Linked DNA regions of Bombyx mori. The protein of the gene in region 3 purifies or fractionates together with the protein of the main gene of each other region. This does not show direct contact. Links are inferred from orthologs where the notes say so. Each region holds a gene or a part of one and is shown on either strand. Other genes may lie near its edges.

The links. The genes of interacting proteins can lie anywhere in the genome.
Region 1: the proteins of iron-sulfur cluster co-chaperone protein HscB (region 3) and iron-sulfur cluster assembly scaffold protein IscU purify together in Homo sapiens (affinity purification with western blotting; 3 studies listed by BioGRID and IntAct, with this or other methods). This does not show direct contact. The link is inferred for Bombyx mori from reciprocal best matches to the Homo sapiens genes HSCB and ISCU.
Region 2: the proteins of iron-sulfur cluster co-chaperone protein HscB (region 3) and uncharacterized protein LOC101746165 purify together in Homo sapiens (co-immunoprecipitation; 3 studies listed by BioGRID and IntAct, with this or other methods). This does not show direct contact. The link is inferred for Bombyx mori from reciprocal best matches to the Homo sapiens genes HSCB and SDHB.

The regions. Positions count from the first base shown.
Region 1 is NC_085129.1:12,109,147-12,113,422, forward strand, and holds the start of iron-sulfur cluster assembly scaffold protein IscU, read left to right. Parts: upstream 1-1,476; 5' UTR 1,477-1,590; coding exon 1,591-1,683; intron 1,684-2,531; coding exon 2,532-2,912; 3' UTR 2,913-4,276.
Region 2 is NC_085132.1:953,369-957,480, forward strand, and holds the start of uncharacterized protein LOC101746165, read left to right. Parts: upstream 1-1,312; 5' UTR 1,313-1,766; coding exon 1,767-2,615; 3' UTR 2,616-4,112. Other genes in the region: myb-like protein X, read right to left, coding at 1-121. UniProt on the Homo sapiens protein: Iron-sulfur protein (IP) subunit of the succinate dehydrogenase complex (mitochondrial respiratory chain complex II), responsible for transferring electrons from succinate to ubiquinone (coenzyme Q).
Region 3 is NC_085122.1:7,115,262-7,118,948, forward strand, and holds iron-sulfur cluster co-chaperone protein HscB, read right to left. Parts: upstream 2,366-3,687; 5' UTR 2,183-2,365; coding exon 1,911-2,182; exon of another isoform or gene 1,898-1,910; coding exon of another isoform or gene 1,884-1,897; intron 1,656-1,883; coding exon 1,570-1,655; intron 939-1,569; coding exon 637-938; 3' UTR 501-636; downstream 1-500. Other genes in the region: transcription initiation protein SPT3 homolog, read left to right, coding at 2,800-3,687.

The DNA.
Region 1 (4,276 bases), on a different chromosome or scaffold from region 3:
TAATTTCATAGGCTTCTATTACTGTTTTTAATATTAAGGGATCATATGTCTTATAAGGATTTGCACTCTTTGATACGTACACGCGAGGCATATCTAAAAATAGAAAACAACGCGTAACTGATAATATAAATATTTGCCACATAATAAAATAACACTGCATTGATAATTTTGAATAAAAGTTGTAGACAAAAACATCATGAATAAACCAGATTCTTACCAACAATTAAAAAAAATATTGTTATAATTACATAGACAACCCTAGAAACCTGTACCTATTTATACTTAGGTCGTTTCCATTTCACATATTCTCATCCCAATCGACCCCTTTTTCGTTGTTATTTGTACCTGAGACGTCCCCAATATCCCCAAAAACAACAGATTTTTACATGTATTTTTATTTTATCAAATACATTAATACCAATAACAACTGAGACTTACCTTTAATATAACGGCCGTCTGGTGTAGTGGTAAGTGACATGGTCACTACACAAGGTGGTCGCGGGTTCGAATCCCGCCAAGGGAAGATTATTATATGATAAATATAAATGTCTTTTCCAGGGTTATGGTTGTATATTAAATATATGTATGTGTATAATCAAAATCTTACATTTATTTCCGTTATCTGGTACCTGTAACACAAGTTCTTTACGAACTTATCACGGGACCAGTTAACGTGGCGTGATTATTAGTAAATATTTATTTATTTATTTATTTTATATATGATGGTTCAAACACTAATTTGCGTTTATAAATCACAGTCCTCTTCTATTATTTTAAAATAAATAAAAGAGAACAAAGTTTCTAGCACTAAAATAATTACCACCACAGAAAGTTAATTTGAAACACGATTTTTTATAAGTTATTATCATGCATATTCAGAGTTGTTTTGTGAACTTTCAACATTCTACTATTACACTACAAAAAATGGAAGATTTTGCAACGATTAAAAAACTAGTATTGCGCGTCGAAAGATTTTCCTGTTTTTTTCCCCAATCACCTCTCGATCCCTAATCGCCCCATTTTACGGTACCTATTATTGGTCTTTTTTGGCGGGAACGCGAGGAGTGAAGTTGTATGATTTTTTTTTATTAATTTTGTCTATTTAGTGTTTCTTCAGGTTTAAATGTGTAATAACGGTGGTTTATTAATCGTTTAATATTTGTGAAAGTGCACAAATGTGGGGAAATGAAACAAAGCCACTGAACGTAACTTCTCGGGATCCTCCAAAAAGTCCACTGAAAAAATCTCAGTAAATGACCACCATTTTACTGAGATTATATTTCATCCCAAATCATCTCATTTAATTTCATCCCAGTTTATTAATGTCTCAAATTAATCATCTTCATTTCATTTCACTCCATAATATCATTTTTTATAAAAATATGAATATATTTAAATTAAAATAAGACATGACTTAAAGGTCTTAGTTACCAGGTCACAAAATCCCTTTAAAAAAAACCCAACTATATAGTACTATATACTTGAAAACTTGAAACTACGTCCAAATATAATAAGTGTATAATCTATGACTACGTCGTCTAAAATATAAGAACGTTTATCATCTGAATTTGTTTTTCTGAAATATATAAAATGGCTTTTTTAATCAACGGAATTCGTCGATGTATGTGTCTTAAAGGCTTTGGAAGTCCTAATGTGATTCTTGCGGCACCTTATCATGCAAACGTAAGTACCTATATGCATCAAAAATATTTGCCAATGTCAAGGATTATCGATTTTCTACTTTGCGACGTAATTTTGGCAAAAACCTTGACCATCAGAAAAAGCGAGTAGGAGCTAATGGTCGGCCGATTAAAATGTTAATAATTAATTAAGAGTCTTTTAAAATAAACTCCCGGAACCATTCTCGATTAGAAATTATTTTCGAAATTTAGACATTTCTTGCAACATGCAATCGAAAATTGTATAAATTTTGGAAAGTATACATTTATAATTTCATTTTCTCTTAAGATTTATAACAAGCTCTTTAAGCTGTTTAAATAATAAAATAAGCCTCACGAGTGTCAAGTTTTTGTCGAACAATCCAGAATGTACATTCGATCGAAAATTTATTATTTGAATCAACTTTAATAGTAAATTACTTAAATAAAAATAATACTTAGATGGAAATATCCACTACCTTTTTTTCTACATGTATGTTTGTAGTGTCATCTCATCACCTACAAATTTTTCACCATAAAATTTTCAACTACAAATAAAATACACTTTCATTACAACCATATAGGTAAGAAGAAGGATACATCCTAAGTACTATTAAGGATTGAGATTTCAAGTAATTGTCTAATGTGAGAATTTAAGTTATGCAATATCTTCGCCCTAGTGGAAAAAGAGTGCCAGCAACTGTTTCACTGAGCTAGTCAAAATATTATTATACTAACTAAGGGATTTAGAATTGCCGATTTCAAGAAAATGTGAATTCATTGCTATCTAACCAAAGGGACAAACAAACAAACAATTACAGTTTCAGATTTATAAAATTAGTATGTATAATAAGAGTATACTTTATCTTACAGGTCATTGACCATTACGAGAATCCTCGCAATGTTGGTTCATTGGATAAGAAAGATAAAAATGTAGGTACAGGCCTCGTTGGTGCACCTGCATGTGGAGACGTAATGAAGTTGCAAATCAAAGTGGACGAGAATGGAAAAATCGTTGATGCCAAATTTAAAACTTTTGGATGTGGTTCAGCTATAGCTTCAAGCTCTCTTGCCACTGAATGGGTTAAAGGAAAAACAGTTGATGAGGCACTAAAATTGAAGAACACAGATATTGCTAAAGAGCTGTCCTTACCACCAGTCAAGCTTCATTGCTCTAGTAAGTTTTTAATTGTTAAACTGCAATTTATCAACATAGTAATGATATGTACAAAACTTTTTTTACTGGAACTGTAAAGAGTCAGAACATTTACCAAATTTTTTAAGTTCTTTTCATATGAATTACAGACACTAAGTACTTTAATTTGATACCACACACATGAAGCTATTGTCTGTGATTAAATAAAGCATCATATTTTACCATACTGAATTTTAAAATGCATTATTGGAATAACTATGGATTTGGTAATTACTTAATAACAGGTGGCATGTAAGCTTATTGATCCATCTCAGCAATAAAAAATGCTAAGGAAAAGTTAGTGTAACACAGAAAATATTCTGGTCCAGATACAAATTAAGCAAAATACTATCTACGGTCACGGTGGCATAATAATTTTAATGAATATGAACCATTGAATTAGGACCATTGTACTTGTGCCTTCACTCTGTGGTTGATTTATGATTAGTATACTGGACACTATAGCAGGGGTGGGCAAATATTTTGATAGTCGGGCCACATTGCAGATGAAAATTTGACCTCGGGCAAAACAGTTTTTTTTTTCTAATTTTAAGTATAGTTTTTGCTTAGGATGTCAATTAATAATTTTTTTATAACTTTTGAGAAAATTAGTTCGACTCTTCGAATTGAAAAATATGTTAAGCAAATACATGAGTTTCAGTTTCATTATTTCTTTAGTGTTTTACGATGCATGCACCCTCAGTAGATCTATATATGCTTTTATTTCGTTTAATTTTCTGCCAATTTATTGCGGACAGATATTCCTCCAAATGAAAATTAATATAAAATAACTTGCGTTCTACTATATTGCAGGAGAAAATGGCGGCTTTAGATTTAAGTTATTTTGTTTATTCATGCAATAATGTGATATAATAAGTATAATAACTAATAAAATTGTGCGACTCTTATACATACTGTAATTGTTCAATTATCATAATTATATTTTCGAATAGGAGGCGCTGAAAAGAGGGGTTGTCCGGGAGAACATTTTGGCTCCCACCAGCATTTATGTTATACAAAAACTAATATTTGTGTTTTTAATAATAATAAAATGCTTCACGGGCCAAAAAAAATTCTACCGCGGGCTGGCCTTTAGCCAGGCCTGCTCTATGGAGTATAAAACATGTGCAGGGTTGAACTGTAATAGTAATGATACTAGCTGGATGGAAAATAATCTTTACATACTAAACGTGAACATTTTTTTTTTTATTGCTTAGTTGGGTGGACGAACTCACAGCCCACCTGGTGTTAAGTGGTTACTGGAGCCCATAGACATCTACGACGTAAAATGCTCCACCCACCTTGAGATATAAGTTGTAAGGTCTCAGTATAGTTACAACGGCTGCCCCACCCTTCAAACCGAAATGCATTGCCTCACGGCAGAAATAGGCAGGGCGGTGGTACCTACCCGCGCGGACTCACA
Region 2 (4,112 bases), on a different chromosome or scaffold from region 3:
TCCAATTACGGGATAGACCAACTCTTCTGCAGGGCGTAAGTAATGATTTGCTTATACCACCTGGAGTTTTGGGTTTGGGGGAGTCATTATTATTTGACGGTACGGAGTTACTGATGTTCATAATTTCATTGACAGTTTTACATATTTGAATCAAAATTATATCAATGTTAATCGAATTCTTTTAACTGTACTAAATAATATTTACGTCGTACCTATTCTTATAAAGGATTCGCCAATTTTTTCAACGCGCAATATGTAATGTTTACAAAATAACAATTCCTCTCACTACTTTTTACTTCCCGCTAAAACACAATTTAACCTACCTACACCTACCTACCTACGACAGCTGACAGATAAGTATATACATAGATTACACAGTGTTTTTTGTTAGACAACAGTGTCATCTTATAAAATTGACGTCCATCTCTTCTTTCCATCCGGGCGTATCTGAAATAGCCCCCTAAGCTATCAGCGAATAGGTAGAGGAAAAAAACCATAGTATTCCTACTCTTCCATAAAATGCCGTCAAAATTGAACGAAAACTATAGCTTTGTACTTTAAATCAAAAGTTCTTCTCTTCACTGAAAATATTCAAAGGTTGAAGGCATGTATTCAAATCCACTCAATAATCAAACTCGCAAAAATACTAATTTGTGTAATTAGTGGTGGAAGCCCGCGTCTTGTGGGTCCGCATGGGTAGATATCACCACCCTGCCTATTTCCAATGCGAATTGGATGCCAACCAAACCAGTAGCGGGGAGAACAAACAGTATTTATACAATTGAGACTTAGGCATGACTCAAAGTAGGTGGTGACATCTTTTTTGTTAGCTTAAAAACTAAGAAGAGCTCATAGTCACAATGACATGTTGTGAATTAATTGTAAGTTCAATGTACATTTTGAATAAACACAAACAGGAAACATAAAATAATAGACAGTATTGTAAAATTAAAACTTATTTATTTTTTATATTTTTATATCTATTTAGATCTTGTCAAAGCAAATGAATCTTAATTAATATTCTATACCGCCAGACCGCAATACTTTTTCAGAATGCAACGTATCAAGTTATATTGTTTTCTGTCTTGTAACTGATTGCTCTGATTTATACATTTGATAATTGTCGCTTAACCGGTTGATTTAGCGTCTATAAAAGTGCACAAGTTGATAAAATAAAACAAATCACTAGACAAGGTTTCTCGAGATCTTTTTTTTTTATTGCTAGATGTGTGTTAACTTGTTACCGGAACCCATAGACATCTACAACGTAAATGCCGCCACCCACCTCGAGACATGAATTCTAAGGTCACATGTTTACAGTACAACGGCTGCCCTACCCTTCAAACTGAAAAGCAATACTTCTTCATGGCAGAAATTGCCAAGGTGGTAGTACATGCCCATGCGTACTGATAACATGTCCTGCCACCAGTAAATCGATCTTTCAATAATCCATCGAACTTTTGGTAAATTCATAAAAAATAATTTTGTCGTATAGAATAGTTATGTTCCCTTGGCCTTTCGAATAGAATGAATTAAACAAAATGTCAAAATGAAGTAACAAATATGTCAAACGATCAAAATTTCCATTCACTACTCGGCATTCAAAAGATTATCGTTTGGTGGTATAAATCGACTCGACATAATAGTAACAAAACAAGTTACGAACGCTAATATTGTACGATTGTGCTAGACCGTGAAACCCACGAGTCTAGACCATTTAACGTAGTGTAAATTAAATATTTTTATTGTGATTTAAGCATTACATAATGCCTTTGCTTAGGCTGACGACTGGTACCTTCGGGCAGCTGCGTACGTTTGCTACGTCAGCATCCCTCGCAAAACGTGTTAAGACCTTCGCAGTCTATCGATGGAACCCCGATGAGCCCGACAAGAAACCTTATACGCAAAATTTCGAAGTGGATTTGGACGACTGCGCACCTATGGTATTGGACGCTTTGCTGAAGATTAAGAACGAAGTAGACCCAACCCTGACCTTCAGACGTTCGTGCCGAGAGGGCGTTTGTGGTTCTTGTGCGATGAATATCGACGGCGTCAACACTCTGGCCTGCATCAGCCATATCGATCAAAACATTTCCAAGCCGACGAAGATTTATCCTCTACCTCACATGTACGTCGTCAAAGACTTGGTCCCCGATCTGACCAACTTTTACCGGCAGTACCAGTCTATCGAGCCGTGGCTGCAGCGTGAAAATGAAGCTGTTAAAGGTAAGGAGACTCAATTGCTCCAGGACGTAGAGGACCGCGTCAAGTTGGATGGTCTCTATGAATGTGTGCTATGTGCTTGCTGTTCGACGAGTTGCCCGTCCTACTGGTGGAATGGAGATAAGTACCTAGGCCCTGCTGTCCTCATGCAGGCCTACAGGTGGATCATTGACTCCCGAGATGAAGCCACTGAGAAACGTTTATCAAAACTCAAGGACACATACTCGGTATACCGTTGCCATACAATCATGAACTGCACTCGCACATGCCCTAAAGGTCTGAACCCAGGCCGGGCCATTGCCCAGATCAAAACCTTACTCTCGGGTATAGTTAAGAAGCAGCCACCTATAATGGACCCTGCTGGCTTGCAGAAGCAGACAGCGAGCAATTAATAAACAAATTGTAAATATGATATTGTAGTTCAAGGGCTGAAATCTTAACTGTAGCTACAATTGAGTGAATGTTAAGGAGTAAGTTTACTAAATGTAAAATATGACATTAATGAAAGCTGCACAAAAGCTAATGAGTGCTTTAATGATGTTGACTTCAACCTATATTATCATTATAAAATATTTCCATTGGTTATCTCTTTACATAAACATCATAAAATTAGAAATGATGTACAAACAAGCTCAGTTGAAATTAAATAATAAAGCTTATTTGATATTATTTTAAACATTAAAATCTCATTTTGGTGTCTATCCTATGGCCTATGTCATGTACTACTCACCATCTGGTCTGCCTCTTAAAATATATATAAAAATGAAATGAATATAAATTTTTGATGATTATTTTTACACAATTTATGAAAAAAGGAATTATATTTAAGTGTAAAGATATTTTAATGTTAATGTTCAAGTAAAATTCAATCACTTTTTGAACTAAAATATTTGATTCCCTGAAATCAAATGACTAATGTAAATGAAAACATTTGAATGTTTGTCTACATCTTTGTTCAACTCTCAAATTAGTAGCCTAACCTAGCACCTCTTAAAGCTGGGAGTATTTTTCTGACACATCTCTTAACATCTATATTATGATGGCTTCTTTGGTCTTACTTGCCTAATTGAACAGTTTTGAACTGAACAAAAATACCATTTGGATTTTACTGCTGGATTTGGTTTAATAAGAGCTCACAGGATGTGAATCGTAGTAGCCCATGCTTAAGTTGAATATTTTAATATGATATCATTATTTTTAAATATAATATAATTTCGTAGTTGGTAATTATATAGAAATATTATATTAAATAAAACATAATGGATATGAAGATTACAATTTAATGAAAAAAATGTCAATAGTAAAATTAGCAGTATTTCCATTCATTTTAATTTACTGGTAGTGGGACACACTGTGAGACCACAAAATTTTGAACCAATATCCTGCATATTATGATTTGAAGCCATTATATAATACCATTAGACCATAAAATACCCAGTCAGAAGAAAGCTAAATGCATTTCCCTATGTCTATACCACTCGGTACCAGCCCAGAGTTCTTACCCCATTTTACATCAAAATCATGTCGTTTAGTAAATTTCATGACAATATACTTTCTCTTGATCTAATTTTCTTATATCAAGTATACAAAGAAATATGTCATTATATTTATGTTAGCACAACATTGTAGTAACATTTATAAAGGGTTGTAATTATCACAAAGTAGTACTTAATTATTTGATAGTTTTGATAAATTGAACCATTTTCAGATATCATAACCGTTGAATAGACAAAAATCAGGATATTGTACCTTATTATACCTTGTAATTGGAAATCTGGACCAAGCTTCAGACGACCAGTCATTGTGTCACGAACCTTGAGGGAATCTTATTTTTAACGACAAACGTCTACATGACGATGACAGATTCCTAAATTATGTATATACATTAT
Region 3 (3,687 bases):
AGATACATTCCGAAAAAAAGTAATAGTTCTCTGTACGTATGGGAAGATGACACCAATCCACGAAGATTGACCCAAGCCTCAAGATACAGACAGTTGGTCGGATGAATACCTCAAGCACCAGTCACCGTTCTCGCCGAACCCGTCGCTTGCGACGAATACTGACAAACAGGACGACCGCCGAATTCATAATAGTTCTTGTCATTTGACTGTGGAACCTTGAAAAATTAAAATTAATGATGTCGCCTTTGACGATAATTTATTCAGGTTCATTTCATTTTTACAGGGATTGAACTAACATTATCACTCAGGTTAGGGCGATGACAGAATCAAAATGTGCCCCCAGGCAAAGAATTATTTTTGTTCTTGCCTTCGAATGTTTATTTATACCAATATTAAGTTAAAATTATTAAAACATTATCTAATTGCATTAGACTGTACATCCAATATTACAAGCTGCAGCTGAAGTAAGCAAAAATTAACCAAATTATTGTGGTATTAAATTATATATTGTATTTGCATAATATATTTTATTTTCGAAAAACATTAGTACATAAACTATAATTTCAAATATACAACAATAATATTAAATCACATGATAGTTATTCGAATTTTATTCAACTCAATATTTAAATTTTGTTATCTTATTATTCCTTTACTTCGTATAACAGACTGTATTTGGTTATCTATACTGGTGTAATATTTTAATTGAGTTAGCAACTTGGTAACCCTTTTGAGATCACCTTCAAAGAATGCCGTTGATAACTGTTTTTGTAAGGACTGAATTTTATTTTTATTTTCCTCATTTAAATTCATGATTTCTTCCTCCGTTTCTGCTGATTCTACTTCTTCATTCTTCTCCATAATTTTCATAAGAAATTCTTGATCAACTTCTGTTTTTTCAGGAATGTCTTTACCTCTTAATTGAAGCATGTAGATACCTTAAATTAATTAAATAATATCGTAAAATCAATTTAGAAACTATTACCAAGACTTTATCATCACTGTTATAAAATAAATTAAGAAAATCTTGTTGTGAAGATTGTTTTAACTTTTTTTAAATGATTTGCTAATAATAAGAGATATGTGAAACATCATTCTTTTTATTCTATTCAGAGAAAAATATATTAGAAGCTTATAATAGTGTAAAGCAAATATTGCATGTTAAGAAACCTAAACATATTAAGAAAACTTAAATAAATATGTTGTAAAGCACAATGCTTCAAACAAGGCCTATAAAACTGATAATGTTGTATTAATTATATACAACTATAGATATAAGTTGAGTTTTAAAATTCATCTTCAGTATTTTGTATGTCTTGGCTTTGTATGTCAGTAACCTAAGGCTTGTCTTGAATAAAAACTATAAACAAGATTAGGATCAAGCAATTATTCCAATACAACTATAGCACATTTATTGTTTTGTGGTTGATAGTATTCATGTTGGACTCGAGTAAGCATATAATGCAAAGTGAGTGATGAGTTTTAGCTGCCTAACTAGAGTAATAAAAATACTACTTTTTCCCTCGATTTGTTTATATTAAAACAAAATTATTTTTATTTATTGCTTACCTCTTGCTAATGGTTCCAACAATGTTTTATAAGCTTCATTTACTAAGGAAGAATATTTTTCAGATATTTCTTGTTCTTCTTTGACTCTGGGAATAAAAAAGTGAATAAGCTTTTCATTAGTTCAATCGGATAGGATATATTTATATTGTAAATAAAATAAAGGTAAACCATATTTTATTGATTACTATAGCACATCGGTACAATCATGTCAAGTGGCACAGCCAAGTCCCAATATTAGTTTACAAAACTATAATCTTTCATTTAAAATTAAAACACTAAATATTGTAGAAATGTTTTATAAATATCATGATCACATTCTATAAATCATGTATTATAAATACCTATTAGCATATTTGTCTGGGTGTAGATATTTTTGCAGATCTTTGTATTTTTTAGCTAAATCATTTTCATTCAAATCATATGTTTCACTAACACCCATTATTTTGAAGTAATTGTCTTCTTTGTTTGGTTTCTGAAGGGCATTACAGTTAGAACAAAAGAGGTTCACGACCAAGGTTTTCGGGTCTTTTCCACAAGACCAACAGATAAAACGAAATTGGTGTGTTATGTACAGTTTTGTACTGTTGTTAGACAAAATTCGAAGGAAATTCATTTTAAGATTTTCTAAAACTGTATATTATGAAAGGTATTACAACATTCGAGACGGTCACGAGATTCAAATTTTATAATTTAAAAAATATTTCGCGAAAATTAAAATACTTTGTTTGTTTTCATTTAAATATGAAAAGGAGTAAGGACTTTGAAACCTTGGTATCAGCTGATAATATCCACAGATTACTTTCTTACAGTTTCGCTCCATATTATTTTTCATAAAACAGTTTTTTTTATTCCCCTTATAGGCCGACAAGCATACGGGTCGCTTGATCAGGAGTAGTTACCATCACTCAAGGATGTCAGCAATGTTAGGGGCATAGCTGAACTGGTACCTATCCCAAGAAATACAAAGGATTAGGCTATATGGTATAATGCCTTTCGCCTTTCTTGCTGGAAAAATGGAATTACTACTGTCTACTGTCATTGTCATTTCAAGCGCTCTGTCATACTCGGCAAAGACATATTTGTGTTGTTAATTTATCAGACCTCGGTACTTATGCAAAACAAATCGCATTTCAAATGTCATCTTAAAATGTACATACCTAAGTAATTAATAAATTAATATAAATAGTAATTACTAGTAATTTTAAAATCTTCCTGAGAATTGGAGACAAAATGACTTACTATACTATGGAAACATGTGGAGAAGGGACGAACTTTCAAAAAGAAATATCGAACATGATGCACGGATTTGGAGATAACCCGAACCCTAACGCTGCAACGGTACTTTTAGTAGAAAATATTGTTTTGCAACAGCTTAGGAGTATCCTACAAGAAGGAATATTTAATTCTAACTTGAGAGGAAGTAAAACAATCACTAACTACGACATAATATACACAATGCGTAACAATACTGTAAAATTAAAACGTTTGCACGATTACCAGCAAAAACTGGATCAAATCGACAACAAATCACAAGTAAACGTCACAACATCAGCCGAAACTATATACTCTAATATTATACTAGAAGACGAGAAGGATCCGACAATGAAAAAAAAGAGAACACATATTGATGTGATAAAACTAATAGACGAAGCTGATGAAGTGAGTCAGATAAAATTCGATGCGATCGATTACTTAAGGAAAGTGCGAGCTTCGAAATTAACAGAGTCAATGTCTTTTGAAAAGTATGAAGCCTATCATAAAGCTAGATGTAGTTCTTTCCGTTGCAATGGCTATGGAATCGGTAAAGGCTTTATAAAATTAGAAAGGTGGATCAATCCAACCAAGGAACTCAAAATTAGTCACTCGGCATTAGAAGTATTGTGTTTTATTGCTTACGAAACTGTGGCTGAAATTGTTGATGCTGTGTATTTGATTCGACAAGATGCCAAAAGGAAACACGGAGACCCTTTTAGTAAATATGAAGGTGGATATTTCTGTAATCCCTTAAGCTTAAGTAATGCTGTTTATATAAAGTCAGGTTATGAAGGAGTGCCTGCAATAACAGTGGCTGAAGTGAGAGAGGCATTGCGTCGTTACTTTTGTCCTATAAATGGAATG